Drosophila melanogaster: one gene and its partner. The gene in region 1 interacts genetically with each later gene. Each region holds a gene or a part of one and is shown on either strand. Other genes may lie near its edges. The genes, in order: ham and seq.

Region 1 (9,099 bases):
TGCCGCAACCACAAATTAAAATCAAAAAACCAAAAAAGAAAAAAATCAAAAAACTCAAATGCTGCGGTTGACTGAATGACTTTGCGTATGCGCAACGTTCAAGTCGCCGCCGTCGAACTCTTGTCTATGAAGTCATTTGGAAAAACGGCATTTTGCAGTTGGCGATGAAGTGGTATAAGGGTGTGTGTGTGTGTGTGTGTGTTAATGTGTGCGTGTGCTCATGTGGGTGTGTGTGCGTCTAGGGAGAAAGAGAGAGAGAGAGTGAGCCATGTGTGCACGCTCCAAAAATTAAGTTAACAACGCCTCAAGTGGCTTCTGCTGCCCCGCGGCATATGCAGCGCAAAAATAAAAAATAAAATAAATACAAAAATATACCCGCGCGCATAAATGAAATAAACTTTGCGTTTTCAGGACGAGGAAGAGAGGTTTCGTCGAGTGGCTTGCCAAACAAGTAGGTTGCAGTCTGTGCATTTCCATTCGGCGAGGGCCACGCAAGTTATAGTTGCAAAAATGTATAATTGGAAGGGCTTTGATTTGCGAAACACGGGGCAATTCGCAATTACAATAATTAGAAGATGGTGGAGTAGTAGGAACATGTGGGTTCAAAGCAATCTCTCATTTCAAAGGGGAAGGCATAGTTAATTTATTAAATCAATATTAAGCATCAAACCCAAAGAATTTATAATACAGAAAATAAGTAAGTTATCTGTTTGCAAATTAATATCTAAGCACATAAAGACTTCTGAAGCAGTACTGTGGCAAATTTATGACAATTCAGTGTAAGATATTTTAAGTTTCCTTATGGTTTCATATTCAAGATTATTCAGGCAATCAGTACTGATCACCGGAATATCTTTATATGACATTTCCCCAGTTTTCCTTGGTTATTCAAGACAGCAAAGGAAACTGCAATCCGATGCAGCCACTAAAAAAATGATCAGATCATCTGGATATGTACAAATACACGGCCAGAAATATCCGTAACCGTTTGGCAAACAGTTCCAGTTGCTGGTTTTGTCTGTCGATAATCCCCGGACAGACATCACACATGTCCTTGCCTATTCATAACTTTATTAAAAAGGAGGCCACCACGCTCACAGCAGAAAAACACGAAAACGTCAATGGGCAGGAAAAATATTTACGCGCCAGAGATAATCTCAAAGTGTTGGGTTCGGTTCGGTTAGGTTCGGCTGGCAAAACTCGCTTCGAATTGCCAGATCAGATCCAGATCCTCCAGAAGGATCGGACGGGAAACGGTGGCAGATACAGATACAGATACGGCCAATGTATCTGTCAAAACGGAAACGTGAACGATAAAAGTGCGCTTGATTTGAGGATCATCCAGGAATAAAGGCCAGAAGGGATCCGATCCGATCCGAGTTGTGTTATTTTTGCAATTTTCGCTCGAGTGGCAGGAACAATATTTTCGTACCAATACCTGGGCCGAGTAGGTAAAAAGAGGGATCTCCTTGTGCGAATTGTCAACAGGACGAGGCGCGATAATTTGATTGGATTGTCTCTGTGTTTCGGTAGAGAAAAGTGGTAGCGGAGGGAGGAGGAAAAGTGTCAGTTGACTGACTGACTGACTGACAACCGATCGAAGGGTTCAGACTGGGATCGGACGATCCGTATACCCTAATTGGAATCATCAGCCGGCCCCGACTTAAGCCTCATTTGGGGTGCACTTTGTGGATTTTCGTCCTGGTTTTCCACTCCGGCGGAAGGTAAATTAGCTCTGGCCGGGGATTAGGCACATTTGACTGACAATTGATACCCTCGAGGTAGAGCTCTAATCAAATCTCTTTCCAATCGTTTGATTTTCCCTGCGAAAACCACCCAAAAATTGGGATGACTCAATTCGCTTGCAATTTTCGCACATCAAAATTGGTACGGTTCTGATGGGATTAAATTTCCCGACCAGCGAAAAACTAATATCGGAAATTTGAGATTGCCAAAATGCGCACACATGTGAAAGGCTTAAGGTCCGTTTGGTGATAAATGTGTGCTATAAAAGTTTTTTGGGATTTTCAGGCATGGGATTTGTGCTTCTGATTGCATGGGAAAATAATTGTAATTGCAACTAACGACAATTTTGGGTAGGCATTGTTGAGTTCTACCGATTTTTGAATTAATTAGGTTAGTGAACATCAAGCAACTAAAATATATTTAAATCATCGTTAGAAAGTAGTTTAATAAGTTATGCAAAGCATTACAAAATATCAGATCCAACAATCAACTTTAGACTACAAGTTTTCTATCTATCGTTCGATTCTAAATATTCAATGTATTTTCTACTCCTTCCCCACAGTTATATTTACTTCTCAGAACTTAAAAAATTATTTATCTCTTTTTCAAGGATTGTCAAAACTACTTACCTTCCAGGCCAGCTGAGGATCGTTGGGTTGGTGGCTGAGCTTCATGGGAAAGGGTCCGTAGCGAGTGCCCCTCTGGAGCGGCGTCTTGGCGTAGACGCCACCACTATCACGGATGTCCAGCTCACAGACTGGTTCGCGCCTACGCACCCACTCCTGCAGGATGTGCTCCGCCTGGGCGCGGTCCTTGAAGAAGGCATCCATGCCGTCGACGGAGGCGGCTGCGGCGGAGGAGGATTCCACGGACAGCGGCAACGTGGGAGGCGGTGGCTGTTGTCGCTGGTTCTGCTGGTGGAAATGATTGGGATGGTGAAGTAGCTCCTGATCCTGTATATCAAGATGATCCCGCCTCGGCGGAGATCCTTCCACGGGCTCCTGCTGCGGTAAGTGATGGCGGGCGGCGAATGAATCCTCGATTTGTTCAGACAGTGGATTGAAGCCCTGACTCCTGGCACTCAGATCCAGGTGATGGAGGTGATGATGGTGGCGCGCTACACTTGCACTTGGATCGAAGTCGTCGCCTCCGGAGCCTGTTAACAATCGAAGCGGATAAGAAATAGACAGCGATTAGAAATGACTTTTCCGACCGCTGGCAAGCACTCAAAGCACTAATCCTAATCAGTTGTTGGCTGTCAATTCACTCCCAAAATAAAATAGATAAAGCCAATGACTCTTCACGTCGAGATGACAATCGTTGCCCGGTTTTATATATAAAGGTGTCTTTGGGGATTTTGCAATGCACGGCTGGGACCGTCTATCACTGCCCACTCTATGTGGCTCCTATCTTCCCGGCAAGACAGGTGTCTCTACCCTTTCCACAGACAGGGCGTATCAGTTACCTCGTCTGTTTTCCTGTCTAATCCAAGCAGGCTGAGCAAATAAAAACTGGATAAATATCGACGGGAAATATTTAAACTATTTTGTTGACACAATAATTCCGACTTAAGTTGCTTAGATTTGCTGCTTATCTTCACATTTAATTGATGTGACTGGATTGACTTTTGCCGATTGAATAGATAAAATAAACTTCACTAGACGACTTGATGAGTCAGCTTAGTGACAGTAGAATCAGGGGTAATTTGATTTTTACCCTTAGAACTCCCATAATATTTTGCACTATTTCAGATGGGTGGTGATGACATTGTGAGTGCATTCCCATGGTGTCATTTGAAAAAAATAGCACCCACTTCTTTAAGATACCGATAATCGGTGGGCTCGGAACATAAGTATACACGGACAAATTACCCGGCGATTATTGATATTTGAGCAACTACTAGTTGTTGTTTGCTGTTTGGTTTCTTGTCTTGTCCATCCGCCTTGTTCGAACACTTGAAACTAAATCGTAATTTGAGCTGTTAGACAAAATATGACAGCGCTTCGAAGATAACGAGCATACGAATGGTAACAGTAACTACGGAGTAACAGTAACATTACCCCGAAACAGATAAGTATCGGCCATATAAGTAGACCGCAAACCAATGGCTCGCAAACAATGGCCAAACACAAAGCAAACTACGTTTGGAGTTCTCGACCCGAAACAACCTGCTGCATTTCGCACATCCTGCGGCACACTCTGTTTGCACAGTATCCTGGCACTTCGATCGCGAACCCCGACGGCTTCACACCATTTAGCGAAATCTTTTTGAAGTGGCCTACACTTCAAAGACCGCCCTCGCAACCACTCATCTCGCGTTTATCCTCGGCTCTATTTGACAACCCAATTGTTAATCACTCTGGTTTTCTTTAGTTTTCGCTTTTACCCAAGCGCAAGTGTTTTTTCAACGGGACCTTCGGCTAATTTGTGTTTTAGGTAATCACATTTGGGTTTGGTCTGCTGATAAAACTGGCCATAAACGCTTGATTGCCAGTGTGTGGGGGCTTGATAAGTGGGGATCGATTTTAATGGGTTTACTTAGGGCTTACTTCGGTTTTAGTTTGGTCATTAAAAGTTGCGGCAAGTTTAGTAAGGAAACTAGATTAAAAGATGTTTTTTGTGGCCCGAGATATAGAGCTCTTAAAAAATGTTTTCGCCTAATTTTTTTCACTACTTCAATTATTTTCAATGGTATATGCCAATTTATTAACAGGCAATAAGTATTTTAGCTGGGTTGATATAATTTGTTCAAATTATATTTGAATGGCAAGCCTTCAATTTCCTGTAAGTCTAAAAAAATTCGTAGTTTATTTATAAACGAATGTTTTAATTAGGGCCAAGACAATAGGAGATAAAACCACGACACCACTTATTTTAAGCACTTGATTTGTCACAATTTTTGTCATTGATGTTTTAGGGCTAAAAAACAATCGATCAACTAATGGGTGGATTTGTTCAAACTGATTCACTTGGCTTCTGTTTAAGTTAGGGCCGTTGTAAACTGTTTTCAAAGTAACTGATTCAGTTCAGGGAACTGCGATTCCCTGTAAGCCGCAGTGCGAGATACCAACTTTTGTTTATTAACACGGCGTGGAACCAACCTGATATGACATATCGATCGAACAGCATGATTCCGCTTTCAAACGTTACTTGTAATTATCACAATAAACAGATCGCTGGCAAATATTTTCATAACACGCGATGTGACATTTTCTGCGCGGCCAACACTGCGTATGCTTGATGTTGCTTTATGTAGGTACCGATATTGCTACGATTTTAACGGATATTTATTTATTTGATGGGTGTCGTCTCTATCTGCCGGTTGTCTTCGCAAGACTGCTGCCAGCCAGCCAGCCAGGAAAAGAAGCGGCGATAACGCAAAAAATATAAATGCAAAGAAACAAGCAGAAACAGAATTGTGTGGCAGCGACGTCGACGTCGACGGCGACCGAGAGTGCAAACGGCGGCAGCGAAAAGCGAGTGTGATTTTCCGATTCCGATTGCCAGCACGCTCAGCAACGAACTGAAACTGAATTGTCTGGAGGCGATGAGGATTCTCGGATTCTCGGATTGCCGGACTCGGATTCTCGGTTTGAATGGGAATTTTTCGGGCCGGTTGGCTGGTTGGCTATCCATTCGCCATGGTGGTTGTTTCCGCTCCTCTCTCCCAACCGAAAATCTCATCCCATCTCCCAGAGGATCGCCCTGATGTCCTGGCTATCTTTCGTAAAGCATAACCAAAAGGATAGGGGATGAAACTGGAGAGCAACATCGGTGGAGAGAGGGAGAGAGAAAGAGAGAGAGAGTGCAGCATCTGTATCTTTAACAGTGCGTTTATATATGTATCTCCAGCCTGCGCTCACACACTCTCTCTCTCTCGGATTCTGTTCCTCCTTCTCTTTCGCGGCGAGAACAGCTCTCTTTCTCGCCCCTTGAAATCTGTGTCAGTTTGCAGTCATTATTATTATCTGAAACTTGGTGATTCTGATTCGAATCCTTAGTGCCAGTGGCCACAGAAAGGATAACAGAGGGAGATGGCCATCAACGAGACAGGGACAGAGAATGAGCAAGAGAGAGAGAGTGCGATGGCCTTATTTACCCCTCGATTTTTCCTATCAGAATACGGCTATGTATCTTTGAGATACACAGACAGCCAGCTCGAGTTGAGGGAGGAGTCAGGATAATAGGGCGGGCACATCTTCGCATTCATTATGCACTCGACTACATGTAGACTGCGCTTTATATATCTCTGCATATCTATATACCGAAATGGAGGCAGAGCAGACTCCGATGCAGCTGTAGATACAGATACAGAACCAGATACAGATACAGAGATGGTGTTGCTCTCTTTTTCTGGCTGCCGCTAGTGTCTCTGTCTCTGTTGCGCTCTTCTGTTTGTTTGTTTGCGGTTGGCCCAGACCAGACACCACCCACGGCCCCCTCTTCTGATTTGCCACCCCCCACCCCCTTCTCCCCCACGAGAAGACAAAGTGGCAAGTTGCGGTTGCCTTATCCTTAGCATCCATTTCGTTTTGGTTTTCGAGGGGGACTCGGCTTTTGGTTTGGGGATTGTGGCTTCGTTAGCTCAGTGGGCTTTTTCACAACCACCACCCGCCTTGAATTTCCCACCTCTCTTGAATTTTCCCCCAAAATTCAACCTGCGTCTGTTCCAAAGCGTGCGCAATAAGCACACACATTAGGCTAATGGCTGTGTGTGGGTGTAGACTGCCCTGCCGCTTAAGTGCGTGTGTGTGTGTTTATGGCTTCCTGCCAACTGTATAGGTGTGTATGGAAGTGTGTGTGTGTGTGTGTGTTGGCCGGACAGAGAAAACTCACGGCTATAATTGAAAGCGACGACGACTTTTAGCCTGCGGCAGAAAAGGCAAAGTGTGCCGGGCTGATTTCCTCGACTTTCTCCACTTTTTCCCCTCACTCTTCCTTATGGTTGCCCTTTTTCCCTGCTCAAACAACAACAATCCTGGTTTTTTTGGTGAAGGTGGGGGTGACAAGTACACGGGCTTTTTGGTCTTTTGTTTGCAACTTAATTTCGTATCTGTCGTTAAACTTTTTCATGTTTTGGTGGAATTTTGTTGGGCTTTGGCTTAGGCTAAGTGGATGGGAAGTTATGCTGATGAGGGGGAATAGATGACTGGCTATTAGGTGGAACTTAGGAGGTCGCCTTTTAATCAGAGGATTATTATTTTCCTTTAAGACTATGCCTCATATTATCATGAATTGGGTAATCTAAATATATTATTGCTCAACCATTGCGTCAGCGAAGATATTCCCGCACTCTAAGATAGTTAGTATCACCTATGTATTGTATATAAGGAATATTGTTTTTTTCCATGAGATAAGTAATAGGGAATTATTGTGAAAAATTAAAGATTTTACATTTTCTTTACTCTAATCCAATTTACATAAAATATGAATATGTGAATATGAATTGAAAAAGAAACACAACTTATTTATCAATTTGATTTGTCTTGAGTATTAAAAGTGTTATAAATGCAACAGTTTATCTTTTGTATGCGAGCGTCGAAATCATATCAAAACATGGTATGATTATGAGTCTAATTATTATATTTTTATACAAGATAAATATGAATTATTACAACATTTTCTCTTAATTGGATTTTTTTCCACATTTCGCCAAAAAAATACAATATATATGAAGCATAATTGTTTACGAGTGCAAGATACAAAAAAATAAAAAATGGTTTAATTCCGCGTGTTTCCTGTTAGGCCAAAAAAAGATAGCTTATTCTTGAACGATTCCATTGTAATGAGTTCATAAATTTCTTCACTTGTTATTTATTTGCATGATCACTCGAGGGTCAGAAATATGGGCTTTCGCGTTTCACAGCGAAGAGGTGCTAAAAACGGTGCCCATAAAATACACAAATTTCTATCCACATCGTTGTCTGTTTGCGTTTGTCAAACAGCAGCACTCAATTAGGAGCTCACAACATACGGGTGAAATATTGGTGGAATGTCATCGCCGGAAAAGGGGCGCTTAAGGGTTGAAACGGATGGTATCCTGACTTTCAGCTCTGACTCCACTGCTAATAGCGTTAAATTAAAACAACATAATCGACAACGAGTCACCCCTTCCACGCCGCTGTCACATAATTTAACACACGCGAGGACCCGAAAAGATAGAAAAAAGGATGTGTCTTTATTTGCATTTCGCTCTGGTTTCGTTTGCTCTGCGCTTTGTCGGCGGATTGTTCCGCATATGATAGCCCATAATTCATTAGCCAACACGCCTCGGAAAAAAGTCAATAATTCTACGAGGGGCGGAGCCGTGTAAATGCATAACCAGGAATAATCAGGTCAGATCAGACAGTCAGTAAAAGGTGATAAAATTTCAATTAAAGGATTGCAGTGCATTGTGGTGGAAGAGAAGGAATATATATTTATGGCTTTTTCCTCTGTTAACGGATGGAATAAATTAAAGAAAGAGATACAAATATATCTGACTAATAATTTATTTATCTGAACATTTGAAAACTCATTTTTATATAATAACCCAAAAATTTGTTTTGAATAAAATGCGAAAGATAAAAAAGCACATTCGCAAACTGGTGATAATAGCAAAGACGTGGACACTTCACTACCACTAAAGAAAGCTTAAAATTGCAGCTGAAATTCAAATTTTAACGCGCCAAAAATGAAGCGAAATATGCTTTTCAGATCGACTGAATATCCCGAGGCTGGGACACTTCCTTTCTGGCAAAAAGGACTCCAAGCGAGTTCCATTCAGAGTCAGTGACTCCGGTTTGTCTCTGTGGAAGTCCTGTCGACTGTAATTAACTCAGCTGGATGGCTGATCTTTGACTCCGACTGTCTGAGCCAGGACAAAGGACTTGCCCCGGCTTTTGTGAATGGCTTTTACAAGCTGCGGAGTGCAGGGAAATAAAGTTCTTGAAGGAATCGGAATCAAAAGTCGTCTCGGTCCACATATCGCTACCATTGTTCGGATCTCGAGTGGAGGACCGAGTGTGTAGGAATGCCCTTCTTTTGGTATAAAACAAGAGTTGAGTGGTACCGACTTCGATGTGGAACGTCTACGATAGCGGAAAGAATACTAGTTCGATTGCAAACAAATTGCAAAATTCAGTTGTAGGTAAATTTTTTTAAATAAATGAAGTGTGTGTTTAAATCAATGTTTTCTCAGCATCAAATTAAACATATTTCGGGTATATAAAGAATAATTTTTAGCTATTAATATTTATATTATTCGCTATTTACTACTTATATGTATAATTTGCAAAATGCCATCACGTTAGTTTACCCTCCACTGTGCGAATTTGTATATCAATCTGCGCTGATCCTGTAAGCCTGGCAACT
Region 2 (8,868 bases), on another chromosome or scaffold:
GTACTTCACATGCAGCATGCCGTTCTCATCGTCGTCCTCCTCGTCGCCGACGACACCGTGCTGGGGATCGTACTTGATTATGTCGGCGGCCACGGCACTGCTGCCGTTGCTCAGGCAATCGCTGCTGCCGGGCTCGCTTTTGAGGACATGATACTCCTCGTACGTGCTCCCGTCGAACTCGATGATCGTGCCGTCCGTGTTGACCAGGGCAGTGGTGGTCGTGGTCGCGGGTGCGTTGGCCTGCGACACGGGAACGGGCGTTGGTGCGGCAGAACTGACCGCTGGCATTCCGCCGTTGTAGTTCTCGAACACTATGGTGGTCGGGGTTTGTCCATCCTCGCCGGTGGTGGTGATATAGTGGTAGTGCTGTTGCTGTTGTTGCTGCTGCTGCTGCTGCTGTTGTTGTTGTTGTTGCTGTGTGGCGGCCAATGTGTCCACTCCGTTGGTGTTGGCGTTCGTGTGCAGGATGGAGGACGAACTAATAGTTGTGACCACATTGTCTTTTGTTTATATATATTTTGAAAATACATATTTGGTTTGGTTCATAAAAGATGTGTTTGAATGTAATATTTGCATAAATCAATAAATCAATTCGTAATTGAAATCGAAATCAATCAACAATTCACTCAAATCAGGTTCGCATAAAACAAATGTTGTGCAAAATGAAATCTACTTGCGGCCAACAGCAAAAAAGGCAAATGCCACAGATGCAGTGCATCTGCTGCATTTACGGGCGGGCCTCTTTATCAAATCGATTGGATAAGGCAATACAGGACATATAGATAGAAAGTGAGTGAATTGGTTTTTGTTTGTCGGTAGAATTTGTGTTTACTTAGATCTACATTACAGCAATCGTAATTCGTAACTCTGGTACAGTACTCGCAACTCAATACGTACTAAATAAAGTTAAATAAATAATCGACTTCGGTAACTGAGGTGGTGGTAACAGGTGGACAGAGGAGAGGATGAAACTGGTGCCAACTTTGTGTAGACTCCTCCTCCTCCTCCATCGCTTGGGGCGGAGCAGGAGGAGCTGGCAACGGATTGTGTTTGTGTTGTGTCCAAAGAGTGGGAAACAATAAGTGAGAGATAGAAAAGACGGGAAAGTGTCGTTGCTAAAAGTAACTAAATCATAAACGCAAATCTATAAATTATAAACTCTATTTTCAAAATTTGGCGCGCAAGTGCTGCCAAGAGTCAGCGCGCGCATGGGCAGCACTGATGCTCTCATTGAACTCACTGCTGCTTGGGCGCCAAAGTTTGAACTGCAAAACCTTAAACTAGCTAATAAAGTAAAATAATACGTGATCGACAATTGTTTTTGAGCCTTTTTCGACGCGTTACTGTTTTGTACGGAGCTCCCTCCCTCGGTTGAAATGAATTGTGCACTTATTTATTTGATTTTTCCAATGCTCTCGACAATTCGAGTAGAGACAGGACACAGACCTGGGAAATGGTGTCGCAAATTAAAGACAAGCATGTAGTGTGTGGAGCAGTTGAAAGCGGTTGTTGTTATTAATTGGGCGATGCGATTGGAGTTCGATTTATTGAGATAGGTCGGTAATGGTTAATTGAAGATTTCATTGCCTTTTTATTTCGTTTATATTCTTTTGTATTTTGTTCATTTTTTGGGAGGTTCAAAGGTGTGACAAGAACACGGAACACAAATGGAAGTCAAATTCAATGTTTGCTCTCATTCGAAACGTTCTCCCTTAGTGGCGCATTTGAATTTTGGCACAAAAAGTTGAAAACTCAAAATGCAGTTTGAATTTGGAAAGTCAGGATGATATCGATTGGATGACATGGATGTGCGACAACATTTACAATTGATTGGATTCAAATTTGGCCAATTCGGTTGACGGTCAAAATCATAATTGTGTGAGTGCGTTTGTATTTACAATGAGAGCGGTTAGTGGTAATAGCTTCAACTTAAACACCAAATACGAGTACACAAGAGGGTTAGGTTAAACCATACACAAAGACTACAACCAACAAACAAATTAATTAACGTAAAAGCGAACAAATTCAAGTTGTACACTTACCGGCAACACTAGTTGCAACATTCTGTTGCTGCTGCTGCTGCTGTTGCTGCTGCTGCGGACTACTGGCCGTAGTTTGATATGAGGCCGTGGCGGCAGTCACGGCATGTCCATTTGCATCACAGAGTATTTCATTTTGCAGCTGATAGACATTTCCATCCGTGCTCGCATATTGTTGCTGCTGCTGCTGCTGTGGAATGCCATTCAGGGTATTGGCCGCGGGCAACATGTTGACGTAGACAATCTGTTGCTGCTGCCCTTGACTAGACTTGGATGTGGATGCTTCTGCGGCTGCCGTTGCTCCTCCTGTTGCTGCACTCGTTTGACTTAGTTTTGGTATCTTGCCCTCAAATTTACGCGATTGTTGCATAAACTGCAGCGACTGTCGCTCCTTTTTGGCATCTGAAAAACGTCAATCGATAAAGTTTAGTACTTGATCAGGCAAGGATTTCAATTGTTTGTGAATAAATGCGGTTGATACGGTTACTGTTGGTGTAAACACACAGATACACACACATACACACATGTGGACTCGGGGGGTTTTCTGGATAGGAGGCAATGCGATTTGGGTGGAATGAGGATGTGTAGTCAAAGCGAAAGAGCAAGTGAAGCGGATTCTGGGGGCGGCAAAACAAGAGGAACGGATTCGGCCCAGACAGCACCAACACCTTGAATTCGGTTTAGTAAAACAGTTTTGGTTTTCGGTTAGTTTTTAGCATAGACTTAAAAGCGTGATCGTATATTTCTCTGGCGCACTCTTACAATTAGATAGAACGATTTATTTGTACATTAATCGCAAAACAAAAACGATGAACGATACATGTGAAACTGCTTGAAACATTGTCAATTTGGTTAGAACAAAAAACTACTGGGAAATTTGGAATGATTTTTGCTAAAAAAGAGACATTGGGGCATTGGGTTAGAGAATTTGGATGGCTTGGAGGTGGATAGGTGAAGCTGTGATTATGGGGATGCAGTGGTGCAGTGGCTGCCTAAGCTGCTGCTCTCACCTCCTCCGCCATCTGCTGGTGGTGTTGTGGTTGTGGCTATTGATGTTGTTCCAGCGACTACGGCGGATGTCGGTGTTTTTACGGCAGTTGCTGCAGAACTAACCGCCGGAGACGTGGTGATTGAGTCCTTTTTCCGCCGCGCAGGAGTCTTTCGGGGCGTGCCACTGGCCTTGCCACGCCTTGCACCCCTCGACGTCGAGGAGGTGGAGGAGGCCGGCGATATGGAACGGTCGTCCTTGGTGCGCGGACTACGGCCGCGATTGTTTCGCGAGTTAGTCTTGCGCTTGGACGCCAGCCAATCGTCGTCATAGTCGGCATCATAGCGCCGCTTCTGCTTGCGCCGCTTGAAGTCCTCCTCCTCATCATCATCTTCTGTCAACAGGCAAAAAGGGGAAGACAAAGAACAGATGCGAGAAAGGAAACATATTATAGTTAAGCTGGGGAAAGGGGAAGATGATCGTTTTGAAGGGCACCTGCCGGCCCACACACCTGTGCCGTCGTCAATGTACTCAAGCAGCTCCTGCTTGGTCTTCAGATTCGCCGGACTCTGTAGACTCATGGCATCCTCGTTGGGAAAATCAGCCTCATCCGTGGCCAGATCGCCCGTGTCCAGCGTCAGCACGCTCTCCTTCAGCATGGCCTTGACGTCGTCGGGGACGTTGGGATTCTGCTGGATTTCATCCAGGTCCAGATCGGGATTACGCTCTTTGAAACTCTTGGCCTTGGTAGGATTGCATTGCTTTTTCATTCTGCGGAGGAGCAGGAGATAGGAATAAGACTCGCTGGTAGCCCCACAAGTAGCGCAAGGAAACCTACTTTTTATCACACAGCAAGACATCGAGATGTGGTGGCAGGGGTGCTGCACTGAGCACCGCGTTTGGCGGATCCTCCGGATGCCGCCCCACGTCACGCCCCTCCATCCACAGATCGTAGCGATCGCTTTGGAAGCGCTTGACAAATGTGTCCATCGAGATCTTGACCATATCGTTGCTGCAGGTGCACTGCACCGCCCGCTTGCCGTACTCGATCCAGCGCTCCATGGCAAAGTTGGTGGACTCGGCACAGTTAAAGCCGTGATTGAAGCCGGCATGATAGCCGAACGGAAATGTGATCATGATCTCGCCCGCCTCCTGCGTGATCTGCAAGAGCCGGATTTAGTACGGCCACTATGGACAGGATTACTACCGATAAACGCACCTTACTGACGGGCACGTCATGTTGCTTGAGAATCTGTGGTGAAATCAACGTCATCTTGTGGCGCAAATATGCGTTGCAATTCTTGTAACTGGCCGGAAAGTACTGGTTGGCCACCTTCTCCAATTTGCGACCACACTCCGGCGGCACCACATACCACGTCTTTGGCGCCCCAAAGTGTAAGTAATTGATGGAATAGAGATCCATGTCCTCCGTGTGCCATGCAAAGGTCGTCTTCCACATGCCAAAGTACAAGTAGGCTGTGTTCACGCCGTCTATCTGGATGTTATAATCCTTGTTGACATAGTCAAGAATTGTGCCCAGCCGGTTGATGTTCCAGCTCTGCAACGGCAAAGGCAAAGGCAACGAATCATCAGCTAATGCCCAAACCTAAACCCTAACCCTAACGAACTTACATCCTGGTCTGTGTCTGTGATACTTCCGCTGACATCTGCCCCATAAATGGGCGCCACATATGTTATGTTCTTCCAGTATTTGCGCTCCAGATCCTCAAAGTCAAAGTGTTTGGGTGTGGCGTAACGCTCGGTGCTGGCCAACTCGCTAAACTGCTTAACTGTGAGTGGCTTTTTCTGGATGTTAATCTGCTGGTAGTATCCCTGTTTGCCGGTTACCACCTGGCAAATGGGCGCCGGAATTGTGACATTTAGAGCATCGAGATCGGCGTACCCACTGCGACGGGGCACCCATTCCGGCGGAGGCACCACCTTGGCCAAACCGGCTTTGTGGGCACCCTGGGACTCCATGTAGGCCACGTACTTGGGAAAGTCCTTGAACTCCTCCCAGGTGGGTCGGAAGACCTTGATGCGTGGCACCTCTGACATTTTCATTCTCGTCTCAGTTTTTCTCTTTTTTTTCAATTCCGACCTGTTGTCGGACACTTCTTTCACAGCTAGGGTGCTTCGATCTGGAACTGTGATAGAAGCAGCATTAAAACTCCGTACTCCCGTGCACGGCCCATTAATCCCGGGCAGATGCCATTCATGATCAGCCCGTCTGCCTGCCCCATCGCTAAGCGCTCAGCGATCGGATCGCTTGGGATCGGCATTCTGGCTGGCAGTCACAAAACAAACAGAGAAGGAGCGCTGAGGGAACAGCTGCAACTTTTCGAGGTTTTCTTTTTTTTTTTTAATGGGCGCGGCAGCTACAACAGCAGGCAGGCAGGCAGGACGACTGGCAGGAGAATAGAGGCTGGCAGGATATGCAGTTGCCGTTTCCCCCGCCCCTTTCATTCGAGTGGTTTTCCTCATGGGCCAGCCGGACCCGCAATAACCCATAGGAACCCATAAAAAGTGCAATGATCGTTCGTTTGATAACCTTACTAACTACGAGGAAATGTTGTAAATTAAATAAGTATATCAGATTTCATGCACAACCGGCTGAAAAATTGGGAGTTAAAGGAATAAGCGGTAATATGGAAATTATGTATGTTGCCTGAAAATGGTAAATTCGATTCATTTCTTACCACAAAATTATTTCGATTAAATATTAAATGATTTAGTTATGCTATAAATTACAATTGAATTATGCTGATAATATATCGATGATTGTGATAAATGTAAACAACTTTGCCAAAAAGTTGTAAAATTCAGGTATTCGAAATTTAAAAAACTAATTAAAATTAAAACTCCTATGTAAGTAAACATACGAAATATATTTAAACGATCCCCGCAGGATTAGGATAACTTAAAAAATAATTTTACTAATATTGACGCTTTGTCTTCACACTATCACTTAATTAATAGTTACAATTAGCATACAAAATTATTGAACTAAAATTTATTTAAGACTAGTTCGCAAAACTATTTTGTTTACATTTTATAGATCCCAAATAAAATGATTGATGAGTGTAAAACGTAAAATAAAACAAAAGTACAAGTCATGCGTGATTGAAAAATTTCTCTGTGTGTATTTCTGTATACGATAAGCCTCCCAAAAAAAAACACAATAAATCAAGATGAAGGGGATAATTAATTATTGAGCCCCATGACGAACCGTTATTCCCGCGGCAAGCCATTTATAGGGATTGAAAACGCCCAATAAGCAAATGACACAAATCCGGCGACATCTTTTTCCCAGTCAATACCAATACCAATTGTTTTTCCGTTTGTTTTTCCTATTTTCCGTACAAGCAGACTGAAAGCTCTGCAGGCCAGAGGAACAGCAAGGATAACGATAACGAGGACAACGCTGTGCGAGACATCCCAGAGCACTAGATGAAAATTTACGCAATTTTTCGACCACGTAGAAAACTGTACCACCACCCGAGAATTTCAGAGAGCGAGAAGACCAAAACCGAACGAGAGCGGAGAGCCGACGATGTTGGGGAAGGGGAGGGGTAACGGGATAACTGAGAGGGGGGAGCTGACGAGTGCGCAAAACTATATGCTAGTTAACAAGGAGAGAGCAAATATGGTGGGAAGAGCGAGTGAGCGGGCAGGATATACTCGCTACAGAGGAGATTCGACATGGGCGAGTCGCAATGCAGCGAGTGCGTATGCATGTGTGTATGTGTGTTTACGAATATGTGAGTGTGTTTGTGAAAGGACGAAATTTGGAACTCACTTGTGATGTGCTTTGATGGGTTTTTTTTTTAGTTCTGCTTCTCTAGTTTATTCGGTGTTCTCCATGCGTAAATCCCAACAAAATGTCAAAAGTACTTTTATGACTATATGAGCAACTCCAACTGGATGTGACTAACGTTTTGGATGCTGCTGCGTTGCCTTTGTTTGAAGTGATTTGTAGTTTATTGCACATTATTTTTTGTGTATTTGCATATGAAACTTCTGCTGGCGTTTTAACTAACTGTAACTAATTTGCACAATTTGATGTTTTATACGATACACTTGAGCACTATTTTCTGGGTTTTGCAATTCTTGTAGAATGATTTAGCTTTGGTATTATTTTATGTTATCCTGCAACATCTGATGGCGTCGTTGTTTTGCGTTTTACACAGTCTTCGACTTGATGGCTGCTGCTCTCTCTCTTCGAGGATGTTAATTTATATATATGTATATTAATGTGGATGGCTAACTGGCACTCACGACGGGCGCGACATGTCTGAGCGGTCTGAGTGGCAAGCGTCGACTGAACGCCAGTTCGATGCCAGGACGATGGCGACGCAGGCGTCGAAAGAACTCGCTCTTCGCTCGCACTCGCACTCGCACTCACACACACAGCAAGCACGCAACACAGACACGCTCACGCACACACAGTCGCGCCGCACAAGAGCGTTGTCCTTTTAATGCGAATGCTCTGGTCAAAGCATAATGCGAAAGGAAAATTGGTGTAGAGCAAGAGGGAGACGGCGCAAACAAGTTTGACAGGATAATTGTGGATAGGGAAATGCAAGCCGTGTGGAAAACTGGCAGTTTTAATCGCTCCTCCTTTTTCCTCTATTCATTCGTGGATCGAACAATGCCTTTTTCCTCCTCTTTAGTTTCATTGCGAAAAGCAAATGTGGCGAAAGGAAAAATGCATTCGCCATCGCGAATCGTGAATCCATTCGCACATTCTCTCTCTTTCTCTGCATCTCAGTAAGCAGTCAGAGAAATCGCAAAGGACTTAATCCTCATTATGCATTGTCCTGGCACGGATTTCGGATTTTGGCGAAGATCTAATCTAGGACTTTACTGATCCCGGATCGCCAGTGATCGTTTGTAGGTAAACGACAGATACAGAGGCTAGAGGTTGAGGATCCACTTGAGACGGGTCGCAAGGACTCTCTCACTTGAGACGGCTTCGTGTGTCTCGTACTTAATAATTGCATATTTGTATAATAATTGCAAAACCAACAAATAGCGTTCAGAGCAATGGCTCGTTTGGAATAATTGTTTGTTTACTTTTATGCTAGCCAATTTCAATCTAATGCTTTTTATATAGTGTTTTCGATAGATTTTCCATTTTAAATGTATTACACATTTAAGCTTGATCCTGTGAACTCCGTTTGCAGAATTAGTACCATTTAAATAGAATTATAATTTCCAAGCCGATCGCATTATATCTTTTAAATCATAACGCCCTCAACTATATTTCTCAATAATTTCGTTAATAAGAAAATGTCATATTGTTGCAACTGTTAAGGACATTAATTTCCCCCAAGCGCAAAAGCATAATTTAGTAAATCCCCTATAATGTTCAATTTAATGGCATATGCGCTTAGCGAATACAAATAAGCACATCTGCAACTGCATCGAGCAATTATGTGATAGCGTTTCGATAACAAGGTTTCTTGCATCCTGTGTGCAGAAAACCCATACAAAAACCGACGCAAAATAATAAAACAGGACGGGGAGTGAAGGAGAGGAACAAAAAAAGGAAACCGGGCTGAGTAATTACAGCAGCTTGAAACGGTGAAAGGAATGCCCCGTGGTAGTATAATTTACAACATGTCATTAGCCCGGCGACGCCTATGGGAAAATGGAGCTTGGGGGAGCGGCTAACGGCAGGATCAAAGCGTGACCAGAGCACAAAAGAACGGTCACACTGCTCGGCAGGACTTGAAACGAAAGAAACAAAAAGTGGCGGGGTGTCCAAGGATCCTGTCCTCAAAACTTGTCCAAAGCAACTCAGGCATAACCCACAGAGAGAGAGCAGGAGAGAGATAG

What was found.
Region 2: of ham (region 1) and seq, changing one suppresses a phenotype caused by changing the other (phenotypic suppression), as found in Drosophila melanogaster (one study listed by BioGRID).

What each region holds. Positions count from the first base shown.
Region 1 is NT_033779.5:18,777,430-18,786,528, forward strand, and holds the start of ham (hamlet), read right to left. Parts: upstream 5,172-9,099; 5' UTR 4,876-5,171; coding exon 4,848-4,875; intron 2,903-4,847; coding exon 2,376-2,902; intron 1-2,375.
Region 2 is NT_033778.4:13,182,735-13,191,602, forward strand, and holds the start of seq (sequoia), read right to left. Parts: upstream 7,353-8,868; 5' UTR 6,827-7,352; intron 6,520-6,826; exon of another isoform or gene 6,354-6,519; intron 5,175-6,353; exon of another isoform or gene 5,092-5,174; coding exon of another isoform or gene 4,660-5,091; intron 4,586-4,659; coding exon of another isoform or gene 4,247-4,585; intron 4,189-4,246; coding exon of another isoform or gene 3,866-4,188; intron 3,799-3,865; coding exon of another isoform or gene 3,539-3,798; intron 3,422-3,538; coding exon of another isoform or gene 3,003-3,421; exon of another isoform or gene 2,800-3,002; intron 2,442-2,799; coding exon of another isoform or gene 2,410-2,441; coding exon 2,043-2,409; intron 501-2,042; coding exon 1-500. Other genes in the region: Kdm4B (lysine demethylase 4B), read right to left, coding at 2,043-2,441, 3,050-3,421, 3,539-3,798, 3,866-4,188, 4,247-4,585, 4,660-5,091.